Caenorhabditis elegans: one gene and its partner. The protein of the gene in region 1 interacts with the protein of each later gene in a pairwise test. Each region holds a gene or a part of one and is shown in the gene's direction. Other genes may lie near its edges. The genes, in order: aldo-1 and F58B4.5.

What was found.
Region 2: the proteins of aldo-1 (region 1) and F58B4.5 interact in a two-hybrid assay, tested with the Caenorhabditis elegans proteins (one large-scale study listed by BioGRID).

The regions. Positions count from the first base shown.
Region 1 is NC_003281.10:13,560,484-13,568,623, reverse strand, and holds aldo-1 (Fructose-bisphosphate aldolase 1), read left to right. Parts: upstream 1-3,686; 5' UTR 3,687-3,704; coding exon 3,705-3,798; intron 3,799-3,898; coding exon 3,899-4,374; intron 4,375-4,613; coding exon 4,614-5,141; 3' UTR 5,142-5,278; downstream 5,279-8,140. Other genes in the region: exc-12 (Protein PNS1), read left to right, coding at 1-265, 624-764, 862-969, 1,478-1,670; T05D4.2 (F-box associated domain-containing protein), read left to right, coding at 5,588-5,688, 5,857-6,700. UniProt on the Caenorhabditis elegans protein: May be involved in the metabolism of fructose-bisphosphate (beta-D-fructose 1,6-bisphosphate) and of fructose 1-phosphate.
Region 2 is NC_003283.11:10,928,904-10,936,722, forward strand, and holds F58B4.5 (CHK kinase-like domain-containing protein), read left to right. Parts: upstream 1-3,789; 5' UTR 3,790-3,836; coding exon 3,837-3,977; intron 3,978-4,024; coding exon 4,025-4,294; intron 4,295-4,339; coding exon 4,340-4,828; intron 4,829-4,875; coding exon 4,876-5,145; intron 5,146-5,198; coding exon 5,199-5,300; 3' UTR 5,301-5,342; downstream 5,343-7,819. Other genes in the region: nssp-63 (UPAR/Ly6 domain-containing protein), read left to right, coding at 909-1,022, 1,075-1,164, 1,416-1,504, 1,562-1,646; scvp-1 (Secreted nematode Clade V Protein gene family), read right to left, coding at 1,875-2,093, 2,138-2,287, 2,342-2,386; F17C11.12 (Major facilitator superfamily (MFS) profile domain-containing protein), read right to left, coding at 5,372-5,470, 5,518-5,601, 5,742-6,162, 6,211-6,471, 6,817-6,996, 7,040-7,281, 7,331-7,464, 7,513-7,653 and 1 more.

The DNA.
Region 1 (8,140 bases):
CAATGGAGCACGTTTTGCAACCAGAAGCCACCGATGAAAAATTTGTGATTAATCTGATAGTTGGATGTTTTATCTATTTTGCGACAGTTGTTTTATCCGCTATCACATTGGTTGTTACGGTTTTTAACATTTATCTAATGAGAAAAACGATTCAAAAGTCACTAACAGCAATATCAGTTTCCCTTGGGACAGTGCTGTTTTCACTTTCAACCACGGTTATTGGAGTTTTCATGGCACAAACCAATTTGACTGGAACAAGAAGTTTGTGAGTGCTTTGTTGGTGTTTTTGAGGGTAAATTTCATAGAGTAGCGCCTGTGAGGAAAGTGTTTGAACTCATATGGTGACAAATTGACCGAATATCATAATATAACTTTTCAAAAAAAAATTTCAAAATTTTTTATTTACGGTCAAAAAGTGACAATTACTCAGGTTTGCCACTCATAATTTTGGAAATTTTTTGGATTGTTTTATTATGATATACGGTCGTTTTGGATTGTAAGTGTATTTAGACAAAATCCCCAATGGCGATACTCCACTTTTAACCACGTGGTATTCTTATTTGGTTGATTGATACAATTTGCACACACACACGAAAACTATTGTCAACATTTAAATGTTTCAGATCTGATTCCTCAACAATGTATGCATATGGTTTAAAAGAATCAATCGTGTTCGTATTTGTGGTAATTGTTGCAATTTTCTCTTTAATCGTTGCGACACAAAACTGCTCACAAATGATGCTCGCTGCTATAATTGGCCAAGGGTACGTTCGTTTTTTTCTGTTTAAAATTTTATTCAGTTAATTAAATTTTACCCAGATTTTTGTTGAAATTTTTATAATTTCTACAATTTATTTTCAGAATATGCATATTATCAATATCTAGTGAACTATTCACTTCTGAACGGATCTCTGCAATTTTTAACGAATTGAAAAGTTTTGAAACTGCCGGATCTACTATTGAAATTGGGTGAGTTTTGGGAACTCAATTTTTTTACTAGAATTTCTAGCATTTCGGGAAATTTTGAAGGGACTTCTAAAATGCACTGTTTAAATCATTCCAGCAGCAAATAAAAAAATCCGAAAATGTTTAGAATTTAATTTTTAAAAATTATTTTTAAGAACGTTTGGCGCAAAAGTGAAACTTTTTAACTTTAGAGAAGAATCATGAAAATCAGTGCAAAATTAAAATTTTAATATTTCAGAAAAGATGATGCAAAGGCATAAAATTGGACATTTAAATTTTCAACAAAAAAATACTAGACATAAAATTTAAATTCTAAGTTTTCCAAAACTTTATCGCTACAAATTTCAGTTTAAAAAAATTTTGCGCTAAATTCAAATTGAAATAATTCAAAAATAAATTGGTGCAAAAGTCAAATTTTAAACCGTCTTTTCTGGTTTTCAATTTTAAAATCTCTTGTCCAAAGTTAAGAAAACTCAGTTCTTCAAAATTAAACCAATAAAAAACCTTGCAGAATAGTCCTCTTAAACGGGTGTGCAGTGGTGTCACTACTCGTATTGGTCCTTCAATTGATTGTCTTTGTATTCTGCGTCTCTCCAATCTCCACACTCTCTGCCTCGTCAATCGGTTCTACGAATTCCTTACTTTTACTTGACAACAATCGAAATCCCAGTGGCAGCAATCGAGTCGAGAGAACCGCGTTTTGAACGTTTGCTCAACTTTCTCCGCTCTTCCCCTTTTTCACTTTTTCTCCAATTCTTTCAAAAAATAAAACTATTTCTTCATTTTTATTTTACTCTAAACTCAAAAATATTGGCCACATTCATTTAGACAAAGAACAACTGTCAACTATGGGTCAACATTTGACAGACATGAGCATTTCACGTGGGAAATGGCCAGATAGAGCATTACCTAGAGAAAATACTTTTTTCTATGTTCGTCTTACACTTCTCATCTATCTATATACAGGAAGAGCTTTTCGATAATCGAGTTTTTCAAAACAGTTTGTTGCTTTTTTTTTGGAATTGCTTAAATTTTCAGCTAATTGAGAATACGCTTGGTTAAAATTTTAAAACTTTTTACATTCCAAAAGCTTCTAAAACTTGCCAGTAACAACTTTTTCTCAATTCCGAGCTACGGTTTTCCCGCATTTTTCAAACATCTTTTTTTTTTAAGTTCCCAATATTTTTTTTTCAAAGATTTTGACAAAAACCATTTTTTCCGGCAAATTGCCGAAATTGAAATTTCCGGATCCCCTCTGATTCAAACTCTGAAAATTAGAAGAATATATATGTTAGTCGTGATAAGATGTTGCTTTTATAGATTTTGCAAGGCATTCTACCTAAATTTCCAATGGTTAAGTTTTCTTTGTGCACATTCAAATTCTGGGTCCATGAAGAAAAAAAAACAATTTCATAACCCTTCTACGTTTTCTCTAAACTCTCACTATTCGCACAATTGCATCATGCCTCCTCCATATTGCCATCTCACGCAAAAAAGCACATAGCCATTCTCAAAATATCTTTTTCACATCACGTCGTTTTCTATTCGCTGTCTTTTTTGTTGTACCCATGTTATAGTTTTGACATAGAAGCTCATTTTATTTACAAAAATGAATACATAGATGTATTGCTTGTTTTACATAAGATCCTCTTCTTGTTTTTTTTTGTCATGATTTGTCGTAGATTTTGAATTGTTTTATTAGTACGTGCCTCGCATGTTCTCGTACTTATAGTAGCCTTATAGGTCTTACGAGAATGCCCAGGGAATAAACAGAGCAGGGGTATACGGCAAATTTGCCAAATTTGCCGTTTGCTGAGCTCGGTAACTTTGCTGAATTTGCCGAGCAAGACAAATTTCAAAAAAGTAGATTTGTTAAATTTTCCGAGCTCTGCAAATTTCGATATTTGCCGCACATGCCAAAGTTTTGACATTACAACTTTGACCAAAACCATTGGTTTTGTCCCCAAAAATTGAGTAAAATGACACAAAATTGAGTTATTTTGATAATTAATACAGAGCGAGTTACGGAATATGGCAAACGAAAATGCAGTTTACTCTAGTTTTTTTTTAAATATAACTATGTGGTCTAAACCCTATAATATTGGAAAACTAGGTAAATTGTGTTTTTATCGTAGGGGCAAGTTGGCTCATTTTCGAATTAAAAAAAAAAAACAAAATGTGCCAAGTAGGGTCGATTCCTCTGAAAAACGATTGCATCATTCCAAATTTCGTAATCTCTTTTACATTATTTCAATTTCAGACTACTCCAATGAGTCCTAAACTAGGCTCGAGCTCATAGCCCGGCTGCTCTAAGTACGCCAGAGGCATATGTCTGAAAAGCAATTTCAACTTTCATATCTTCATATCTCCGCACGCTTCCGTGAACCAAATCAAATCAAATCCTCCAACGTTGAAAAGTTCAAGACTTTGGCAATTCCTGCTCCTCTCGCTTCTTCAAACTATTTCTCACGTTCTGCTCCAACAGCAGTTCTTCTTCTTTTACTTCTCACAAAATTTCGTGCAAATCACGTAGGGCCCCTCAATTCCCTCTCGCCACTCTGCACGGCTTCTCACACACTCTTGCTCTCTCGCCAGGGGCTCTCCGTCTCCCTTCTCGGCGGTGCCATCGATTCGTTTGGCGCGAGAGAGAAAGCTCCGGCTCTTTTCACTTTTATCAGCGGCCCTTGTTTTTCACCGACTTCACTCTTGCACATTTTCAGGCAACTTCATTTTCTAAAATGGCTTCTTACTCGCAATTCTTGACCAAGGCCCAGGAGGACGAACTCCGCTCCATCGCCAACGCCATCGTCACCCCAGGAAAGGGAATTCTCGGTAAGTAACGATATTAAATTTGGGAAACAAAATTTGGCATTTTGTGTGTTACAAATCTAATCTCTAATCTCTCCAATCTCCCTGAAATTCGAATTTGCAGCCGCCGATGAGTCCACCGGATCCATGGACAAGCGTCTTAACAGCATCGGACTCGAGAACACCGAGGAGAACCGCCGCAAGTATCGTCAACTTCTGTTTACCGCCGGAGCCGACCTCAACAAGTACATCTCGGGAGTCATCATGTTCCACGAGACATTCTACCAAAAGACCGACGACGGAAAGCCATTCACTGCTCTTCTCCAGGAGCAAGGAATCATTCCAGGAATCAAGGTTGACAAGGGTGTCGTCCCAATGGCCGGAACCATCGGAGAGGGAACCACTCAGGGATTGGATGACTTGAATGCTCGTTGCGCTCAATACAAGAAAGACGGAGCACAGTTCGCCAAGTGGAGATGCGTGCACAAGATCTCATCTACGACTCCATCAGTGACTGCTCTTAAGGAAATTGCCTCCAACTTGGCTCGCTATGCTTCAATTTGCCAACAAAATGGACTTGTACCAATTGTTGAGCCAGAGGTAATTACCGAGAGTCGAGAGCCGAGAGTCGCACAGCACTGGTACCTACCCACCTAAGTTCCTTTTGGGGGGATGTAGTCGTAGATCGGCTTGAATGTAATACTTAGAACGGTTTTCACAGAAAATTTTAATATTCGATGCAAAACCCAAGTTAATGCCACGTCCGTTACTTGGGTCTCGCAGCAGTTTTTTTTTTGTAAAAAAAATATAATTGGCACTCTAATTAGTTATCATTTCAGATCCTCCCAGACGGTGAACACTGCTTGGCTCGCGGACAGAAGATCACCGAGACCGTGCTCTCATATGTGTACCACGCTCTCAACGAGCATCACGTCTTCCTCGAGGGAACCCTCCTCAAGCCAAACATGGTCACCTCCGGACAATCATTCACCGGCGAGAAGCCATCGAATGCCGATATCGGACTCGCCACCGTCACCGCCCTCCAACGCGGAGTCCCATCCGCCGTTCCAGGAGTCGTCTTCCTCTCCGGTGGACAATCCGAAGAGGATGCCACATTGAACTTGAACGCCATCAATCAAGTGAGCGGAAAGAAGCCATGGGCCCTCACATTCTCCTATGGACGTGCTCTTCAAGCCTCCTGTCTCGCCAAGTGGGCCGGAAAGGACGAGAACATCGCAGCCGCCCAAGAAGTCCTGCTCCATCGTGCTCAGGTCAACTCCCTTGCCTCTGTCGGAAAATACACCGGGGATGCTTCAGCTGACGCAGCCGCTTCCCAATCCCTCTTCGTCGCCAATCATTCTTATTAAATGGCCACGCTCAGGATCTCTTTTTTCTCATTTTTTAAAACTATTCAACGCACGTAGAATTATGTGTCTGTATACCCCTTTAATTGTCATTATTTGCTTCTCTAAGTCTCTTCGGATTTAATAAATCTTTGGTAGATACGAATGCACAATTAAAGAGAGATGTATCTTTGGAACATTTGATTCAAGCAGACAGACAATTGAGCGATGGCTCGTCGCGATGCATTCATAGTGATGACGTCAAGATGTCTTCTACTACTCACTATTCCTTGTAGGTTTATGTGTCTGCTCAATTGTTGAGAACAGAAGGTGCCTAGTGTAAGTGCGAGAGAACAATTTCCCAGTGGAGCCGTTTAACCTTGGGCAGGTGCGATGCACATTTTCAGATCGATATCTAACCAGTTGCACACTATTCGCAACGCATTACAGCCATTCATTTGTCCATTGCAATGTACTACCGCGAAGTGAGAGGATCTGAGATCTTCTATACCAAGTACTATGGTCCGCCAACTGAAAAGGATACCTTGGCTGCCAAGAACCCTTTTGAAATGTAAGTGTTTTTAAAACTAAATTTTCTAAATTTCCAATAGTAAATGTGTTACACCCTGTCGTTGGATTGTTTTTGTTTTCCAAGTTGTTTGATCTTCAGAAATCGACTAACCGAGATTTTTAAAAGTCAAACGAATAAATCAAACAAAACCAATATAAACATTTCCAGGATGGACTATGCCTTAAAATCCCCGGAGCACCTAACTTCCGCCCATTCATACACAAAGAATAACCACTGTCAATGCTATGAAATCGCAGTCGATATCTGTTCTGAGCCACGTGTTCGTGTGAAGGGTCTAGACCGTTGTTGGGAGTACCAGATCCAATCTACCGTGAATGCTCCGCCAACTCCTGGAGAGATGCGAGTCATTGAATTTCTCAAGGTTTACACTACGCGTATGTATTCAGAAGATAAGATTGAAGGACTAAAGAAGTGGACGGAGAACGTAACTAATGTACTAGACTTTCCAATTCATACGATCAACTTCTCACTGGACGCCTTTCCCCAGCAAAACCGAGAAATCATCGATTGGCTTGCCAAAATTAGAAAGGACATTCCAGACGTTAACATTTTCGGGAGCAATGTGGTAAATGAAGATTTGCTCTATTTACTCCAAACTGTCAATATCACCGATAGCGTCGAGTTCCACTTGGATACCGCTGAAATATTTCCTTACGACATCCCAGTCCGCGCCAAGTACTTCTTGAGCTCTCAAACAAAATGGATTAGCATCAAGCAACTTATGAAGCTGGAGTGCACTGATATCATCGCAAACGACACTGATTTCACTGACGAGGAGCTAAGCACGTTCATTTTGAGTTGGATGAAAATGGAAACAAATGAGAATTTGACTTCTTTGATGACTCCGATCAAGTCCCCTAAGGCGGTTCTTAGCAAGTTACCTCATGTGATTGATGCGAAGGGTAACGTTATTCTGACGCGGGATAATGAAAAGAGAGTCTGTTTCTACATCTTGGAGAAAAATGGACTGAAAAAGCTCATAATGAGATAAAATTTTAAATATTTTTTTGGCGAATAGTAGATATTTTTTTCATTGTATTTATGCTTTCCGAAAAACAAGCTATGTATGTTTCTCTTTTTAATTTTCGTGATATAACACTCTTCTTAAAGTTTACTATTTCAATTCACATATGCCAAAAAGTGTAAATTCTGAATATCCTTTTATTACAATAAACATGTTCACCTACTCTTGCAACGTGAAGCGTTTTTTTTTCAATTTCTGACTAAAAATTCGTTTAATACGGTATCAGGTCTCGACACGATCAAAAAATTTCTGTATTCTCTATTTCAGCACAGGTTTTTTCACGAAAGCATTTTAGCGGGTTTTTTAAAATTTTCTAGGGTCTTTTAAGTTCAATTGGTATTTTTTTTAATTAATTAAAAATTTTAATTCTATATCACTTTCAAAATAAATAATACCAATTGTATTGCATTTCATAACATTAATGACTACAGTACACTTTAAAGGCGCATCGCTCAAAGTTACAAATCAGGTCTCGTCGCGAACTTTATTTGCGAGCAAGACATTTATTTTTTTAAACCTTTTCAGGCTTTGTTTCTCCATTTTCTTCGATTTTCATTCATTTTTCTATGATTTCTCTATTTTATTGTGAAAATATGTACTTTTCGTTGTTTTATAACCGTTTTGCTGTTTAAAATAGATAGCATCTGCATTTCCGAGTAGTTTTCCTCTTTGTCGAACTTGAGAATTTGTTTTCGAGGCATTATTGATGATTTAACAAGTCATTCTGAGTTTAACTTGTTAACTTTTAAATGTTTGCCGTAATTTTTGTAAAATTTCCAAGAAAAGCCCCAATTTTATTCAGATATTAGAGAATTCCGTGCTAAATCCGAAGTATTACAGTAAATAGGCCGGCAAAAACCGTAAAATCGAGAGAATATAGCCACGAAACGTAGAGAAAACAGAGAAAATCCTTGGGATATTCTCTCTTCCGAATCATGACCCGATTCCGAATACTTTCGCTATTTTCTCCCCGCGTTGCGCACGGCTTCCTCATTTTCTACCTCATATTTTAGTTTTTTTTTAAATATATTTTTTTGAAAAATGAGTCAATTATGTACTTTTTTCCACAGAAAGCTACACTTTCAATTAAAAATGATGTCATTTAAACCGAAAAACCTTGAACATGATCGGCGACATGACTTTAGAGAGAAAAATGAATTTTGCCATGACACAGTCGAAAAAGAAAATGGAGACACTTGTTTCTTGTGTTTTTATTGAAATTAGGCCGCGAAGTTTTTGTGTTTTCTTAAACATTGTTGTCAAGAGTGCAAAGAAAACAGAGTTCTTGTCGAGTTTTCTGAATTTCATTAAATTTTTCTATTAAAATCGATTAATTTTCGGTACTCCACCCTTAAATTTCTTAGAATTTTCTGGAAAACGATTGTTAATTCATGTATTGAGCATTGA
Region 2 (7,819 bases), on another chromosome or scaffold:
TAGTTATGTTGGCATGTAATAACTCAATATTGAATTAGGTGGCAAGTAAAACCAAATTTAAAGAAATTATTAACTTCTTGTTTTGAGAATTATCGTTTAATAGCTCAGTTGGTTGAATTCCAGTTGGTCATCCAGTTTTTTGCATGCACATACCACCTGATCCTTCTAGGGCTTCACTTATATCATTAACCACCAACGATTTGAAGAAAACACGTCTGGCATATCCATATTCGTATTAGCCATTGCCCGAAATCAAAAAATATCCAATCAACTTGTAAAGTTGCGCCGGCTCTTTTTTCCTGCATTTTCTAATTTACCCCTATATAGATTTCGTTTTTTTTTCTTACGAAACACTATACAACTGTTTTTATCATGTGATACATTGTCATAAAAGTCCCAAAAGTAGCTCTTCAGCTCCTCCCTTTGCTCATTTTTTCTCTACTTGGCTCCGCCCACTATCAGCTAACAAGTAAGCTCAGTGGCAGTAGACACTACAGTGATGAAGAGAACAGAGTACAACAGCACAGCGTCTCCTCCTCTTTTTCCATTTTCTCATTTAACTCTATTTTCTCTTCTTTTCTCCAACTTTTTTCGATTCCACCTGTCTCTTGTTTCGCATCGGTTGCCATTGTTACGGCGAGCTGCCACTCGAGCTCACTTTGCCCATGCCTTATCATATGATTGTAAATTGAGAGAGAAAGAGGGCCCATCGTCCATCGTGAGCTTTCACACTTTGTGCGCACACACTCACACCGGAAATTTCGGTGTCACACAGCAAATTGGAAACAAAGTGTCCGCCCATATCCTATCTCCGATTGAGCCTCTCTTTCTGATATTCATTCTCTCAGCCACTTGAAGGGCTTCTCACCTTTTCACTTTCAACCAGAAATATTTTTTTTATCTTCAGAATGCTTCGCCCAATCTTCATCACCCTTGCCATTGCCGTTTACACTGCATTTGCTCTACAGTGCCATGTAGTTCCAGCTGGAAACCTCTCCGTTCCAGATACCTCCCAGCGTCAGGTATAAAACTTATTTTTTTCATATTTAAAAATAGATATTTTTCCAATTTCAGGAGTGTGGTATCGGATCATTGACATGCGTCAAAGTTGTCGACTTCACCCGGGGAACCTATACCAAGCAATGCCAAACCATGAACTGCACAGTGAGTGATAAAAAAATTAGAAATCAAACATTCCGTCAGTTTCCCATGGTTACCATAGCTGCGTTTAACGCGAAGTTCTAGCTTCTCACCTGCTGGCACTGACAACAAGTATCACATGATCTTGCTCTCACCGTAGGGAATATATGTATGCGCGAGAGCTATTCTCATTAGCGAAAGCTAGAAGTCGTGGGAATATCTGGCAAACTAATATTAGATGTATAGTTGAAATGATACGAAAGTCTATTTTTCAGTTGAACGGAATGCAAAATGCCGCAGCCAACTGCCAGAACTCTTCAGCTTTCGGAGTCAATGGGGCCACTTGCTGCTGCTACGGAGATGGGTAATAATGAATAAAACTATGTGGATTGACCGAATAATAATTCCAATACATTTTCAGATGTAACTCTTCCCCGAAAACTGGAATTGTGTCAGCTGTTGGAATAACTCTCGGCTTCATCTCTCTAATGAAAATCATGACATAAAGTCGCATTGTCTAGGGAGATCGTTAATGTTTTCTTTTTCATTTTTTTGTCCAATTCCTCATAATCGTACCGTTCCCAAGTCTTCTCAAAAAATCTCATATTTTGCCATCAAATTTTTATCCAGTGATAGACATATGTTTTTATAATCATCCCGTTTGTAATGCTTCTCTGAACATAATTTATTCCAATGTAAAGTCCAATTAATAAATTCGAAAAAGAAAACAGAAATCAGAGAATTTGAGTCTTTTCTCCATCACATTTCAGAACAGCATATGAAAGTTCATTTGAGTGCTTCTTTGCTCCTTTAACAAAACGGCGAACTTCATCACATCTTGCGTCATCACGGATCTCAAAAAGAACTGCAAACTTTCCTCCGTGATCAATAATTGATTGTTTGATATTGTCAGATGGGTACCTAATATTCTCCTTTTTGGAATAATCATCAACCTGAAAATGATAATTTTTGTTCGTGGCCCAAAGCGGATACTCACAGCATCTTTCACAATTTTCAAATTGGAAGCATTCTTTTCCGGATCAAAAGATCTATTTGATACCAACTCCACAGTTATATTGACAATCGGCGGTGGCTCAAATCCACTTCCTTCTTCCGTCAAAAGTTGGTCGTCCAAAGCACAAAAGCCCTGAAAATATTTTTTCAAGACAGAAAATGAGAAAACCGTCATCTATTCACTCACCAAGCAGACTACAGAAGCAAATAGTAGTATATAGGATGTAATCATTTCTGATTTATCAGAAATTTTGTTCGCTTTTATAGAAGCGTGTTCTGTTTACTATTGATTTATGTGAATAGACAGATTCATGAATTTGATTTCACTTTCAGAGCAAATATTGGCTAGAGTAGAGAAGTCAATATATTTTCAATAAAAGTCCATTATTAGCATCTCGTAAGAAAGCCATGACTATACATCAAACTGGTAATGTTTATAAAAGATATGTTGAGTAAGAGCTTTTGGAGCATTGCAAAGGTATTTCATTTTTAAAAAATTTATTTAGAAACATTTTGCTAACTTTGAACCACATACATTTGCATTTTTTCTTTTGCTTCCAGGCAACTTTTTGAAACTTATTTGAAACGTGTTAACAGAATTTCCAAGATGTCAGAAAGATCAACGTTTTGACTTTGCCATCCCATACTGAATCTGCATAAACTAAATTAATTTGGAACAAAAAATGAAAGATTGGGACTGAATTATTAATATATTAGTTTTGAATCCTATATTATTTTAGCTTTCTTCCTTCCAGGCGATTTTTTTCGTTAGATATTTTTCTTCGTTTCTTGTCAATCAATTTTATATAAAATTAACAAAATCGCGACATGGTTTGAGGACGTTTAAAGAATTTGTTCCTGATTGGGATTGTAATACGTTAGCTCAAACACCAATTCCAAGAGCTCACTGATGTTGGCGGTCTTGATATGTGAACTGAACCAAGAAAACAAAAAGACATCACCTGTTCTTTAGATGAAAAAGGAAAAACACAAGATATATCTTACTATTAGTCGGGGTGATTTTAAATCAAGGTTGTTTAATAATCTGCATTTCATTTTCAAGATTTCAGAAAACTAAATGCCTGAAGAAGTTCAAGTCTGCAAAGAACCTGAAAAAAATCCATTTTTCATACTTCAAAACTCAAATACTTGTTTCGTTTAGAATTTTATCTCGATTCAAATCATAAAGTTTTCGATAAATATTCATAATCGGTGAATATTAATTTCTGAAGCATTCCCTGTAGGAAATAAGTCACAAAGTGGAAGTGTGATCAGTGCAAGTTTCAATTGAAATTTAAGATAAACATGACAACGCATTTGTGCATGTTCTTTGATATGAAATCTCATAATTTGGTTTTTTTTTTCGTTTTGGAAATCGATTTTCTCGCTGTGATCGTCATGAAGTCAAACAACCCGGATGTTTTAAAGATGCACTTTCTCCGAAAATTCCAGATTTTTTTCGGTTCCAAACCACGGTTTGAATTGTGAAAATGGTTTGTGCATGGCTTTTAAAAAATCAAACATTTCTCAACAGATAAGGCGTACCCAATCAACCTATCGATGAAATGCTCGCGATAAGGCGGTCATGCACGTGCTTATAAAACAACAGAGACAGTGTAGTTTTCAGTTAAAACTTTTAAATCAGCATTTACATCATCTTTTTTCTTGAAAAGGCAGTTGTAATGTCGTTGTATACTGTTGCTGATGGACTTCTTGGAACTCATGTTACCTGGGAAGATGTGCTGGAAGAAATGCAAAAGGCATTGGATACAACTGCCACTTTTGGAGATGACAAAACTGCCACAAATATCAGTGATATGAAGGTATTTGATTCACTTTGTACTTATAATATTCGACGTTCACATTTTAGGGATTCATGTCCAAAATAGCTCTGGTCGAACCAAAGTGGGTAGGGGCTTCTGAAAACGAGGAACTGCCTGAAAAGTTTGTGGTCAAGATTTCATCTCAACTTCCATTCATTGAAATGACCAAGCTTATGGATTTTTCTTCCGGTGATGAGTTTTGGGATGATGCAAAACTGAAAGGAATGGGAGAAGTTACAAGATTGCTTCATAATAGAGAAGTTGCCACGTACAAGATTTTGATGAGAGAAAAGCATCCAAAGATTCCATTCACGAAGGTGAATAAATTGATTTTACTTGAATTTTTACCTGAAAAACTTTAGGTTTACGCATCAAAGCCATTTGACGACGAGAATAAATTGAAGGCTTATTTGATTTCCGAATATTATCCAAATATTCATCATATTGGAATGCATGAAAGTATTCCAGCTGAAGATCTGATTCCAGTTATTCATGCAATTGCTGCATTTTCTGCGATTGGTATGAAATTAAGTGAAGAGGAGACAAAATATGCTCGCGGAGCCGACTTTTTGGATATTGTTTTTGGACAATTCATGGATGAGAAGTCAATTGAAAGAATGAATGTACTGCTTAAAGCGTCATTCCCAGAAGAGTATTTGGAGAAAGTTGAGGAAATGCTGAAAATCTACAAAGACTATTATTTCCAACCGCAAATGATCAAAAATTTCAAAAATACATGCCAATTCTTTGGTTATAAACCAGTTCTCACCCATTCTGATTTGTGGAGCTCAAACTTTTTGTGTACTCGAGATGGAGAAAAAGTTACATTGAAAGCGATTATTGATTTCCAGGTTAATTTAGATTTTTAGAAGCTTATTTCCAGATTTTTGAATTTCAGACAGTTTCAATCACAACTCCAGCACAAGACGTTGGCCGATTGTTTGCATCATGCTTATCAACAAAAGATAGAAGAGAAAAGGCAGATTTCTTGTTGGAAGAATACTACAATACATTTGTAAATGAACTTGATGGAATGGATGTTCCATATACATTCCAACAACTTAAAGATAGTTATCAAGTTTACTTCCCACTAATGACTACAATGGTTCTTCCTGGAATTGCACCAATGCTCCAACATTCAAATGTAACTGAAGAATACAAAGACTCTGTATGTTTAAATGTTCTACTTCTACGTACTTATTGAGAAAGAAAAAATTTCAGATGAAACAAGTGGCACTAGACAAAATGATTGGACTTCTTGAAGATGTTATCACAACTCACGAGAGCAATATTAAAAACTTCCCAAAATATTTTGAATTCTAAGTTCAGCAATAAACAAACTGTTTTAATAAAAGTTTTATTTGTATTGTTTTTTTTTCAATTATAATATGCATCTAAACTCGATCTTCTTCCTCTTCATCGTTCCCGATAGTCTTTGTTCTATTGACAATAAAATCCTCAAGAGGCTTGTTTTTTGTTTCAGGAATCAAAAACTGAAACGAAAAAAAAATTTTAATTAGAGAAAATTCGCTCAACTTACTCTGAAAAATATGAAATCAGCCAATCCGATGGCTAAAAGTATGGCGTATGGCAAAACTGGAAAGTCAATACCAGTGTACAAGTTCTGAAAATCAAGCGTTGGTTTTAAGTTTTTGATGGTCATATTTTTATTCAAGATTTCAGGCAGACTTAGTGTTGTTCTTCAGAATTCTGGTCTTAATTTTAAATCTATTCTACAGTTGTTTGAAATTTAAAAAAAATCACCAAGTGGAACACATGGGGAGCAAAAACAATTCCAAATCTTGAGCAAAGCTGAGCAGTTGAATATGAAATTGATCGAATTGCAGTTGGCATCAACTCATTTGAAGCAATACTTGCAACAATAATTGCTTGAGAAGTCATAGCACACGATAACAATACTCCTATTCTGATCAGCACAGAAAATGTTGCAGTTGTATCGGTTAAACAAAATGCAATAATTGCAACAATTATGGAAATAGTAACCACGCTACAAATTCCATGACACATTTTTCTGTCAAATTTCTCAAATTTGTAATCCAAGAGTCCACTGAACAAGCTGAATGAGTAACGTAGAAGTCCAATGAGAATAGAGTTCATGTATATTGAACCAGCGACAGCTCCCAGATTGAACATAATTGAATAATTAATTAATGTAGTTGCAAAACTAAGAAATTAACATGAGCACAAACCCAGAAACATTTTTCAAACTCACAATGTAAATGCAATGACAAAAGTACCCGTCATGATTTCTTTCGTTTTGAAAAGATGCCAAAATGAATGTTGTTTTCCAACTTCTGTATTTCCATCAGCAACTTGTTTGTCATGTTCATTTTCCAAAAAGTTTTCAAGTTCAGTTTCATTCAATGATTTTGCTGCAGGAACTCCATCGAATTTTTCAATGGCGAGAAACACCTTTTTAGCATGAGAAATTTGTCCTTTTTGCATCAACCATCGAGGACTTTCGTGGAGAAAACTGGAAAATTTTCAATTATTAATTGTTTCAGTTTGACTTTGAATGACTCAAGTGATCTCACAAACTTGTATGGTTCGAGGAGTTCTAGTTCGCAATCTATAAGAAAAGTTCAAACTCCACAGTATATTCAAAATGGTTTAGAGAGAAGTAGTGTCTAGTTTTTGTTGGAAAAAATACAGTATCAAATTCAATAACAACAAAACACATTCCGGTCAGAAGTGGTTTTGCTCAATAGTGAACCTCTCTGTTGGACATTTTCCATAACTTATATGTGACCAAAAGTTACCAAATTTGGTTAAAACTTTGTTTTTTCAAAATAATTTCAACTCATGGAAGAAAACTTACGCCAACATTATAATTGCTGGAACTGTCAGAAATGAGATAACTAAAGCCAATCGATCCCATTGTTGGAAGAAGAATGCAAGAATTCCCAGGAGAATCACATTTGGAGAATAACTAATTAATGTAGAAATATAGCCTCTTGTGCGTTTTGGAATGTTTTCTATCATATACACAACTGAGATTCTGAAACAAATTTGAGATTAAGCCAACGGAATTCAAGTCTTACGTGCTCTGTCCACCATTGAAAAAACAAAGAATTGTTCGAAAAATTGTAAACTTTTTGAAATCAGCTGACAACGCTGACATTATCCCAAAAATGAAACACATGCAGAGACAAAACATCATTGGTGTTTTTCTACCATATTGATCCCCGATTTGTCCAAACACAACACATCCCAACATAACTCCGAGCATTTGTATCGATGTTCCCAACTTTTCCAGTTTTGCATCCTCACACAACAATTTGAACTTAAATACTGAGATTTTTTAATTCAGGTAATTTTGTTTTTAACCTAACCTGTTCGGTAATTCCATAAAATTGTCTTTCGAAAGTCATTTCTTTCTGCTCTTTACAGTAACTGTAATGTAAACATGCTTCTTCGTTTGAAGAAAATGTCATATTGCCACACGATTTTATAGTTGGAGCCGCTCCTGGAAATAATTCATTTGCTTTTAAAAAAAAATTTTTTGGAGCTATACCTGCATAAACCATAAGCATGGTATTTGATAATTGTGATAACATGGCGACTTCTACAAAAATACATAGTAAAATTGAATATCTTCCCATTTTAAGAAGATCATCGCTGTGAACTGTATTATACATTGTACCGGTATTTGTTTCTGAAAAATGATCGATTAGTAGAATTCAAAAATAATCGATATATTTGCAACAGACTCTCAAGAATTTGCAAGCTTTCTTCGTTGTCGCATTTTTCCGTTTTCTGAGATGATGTCATTTTATTGGTAGCCAACGGTTTTTGGCTGGGCAACTTCGAGGAAATACTGG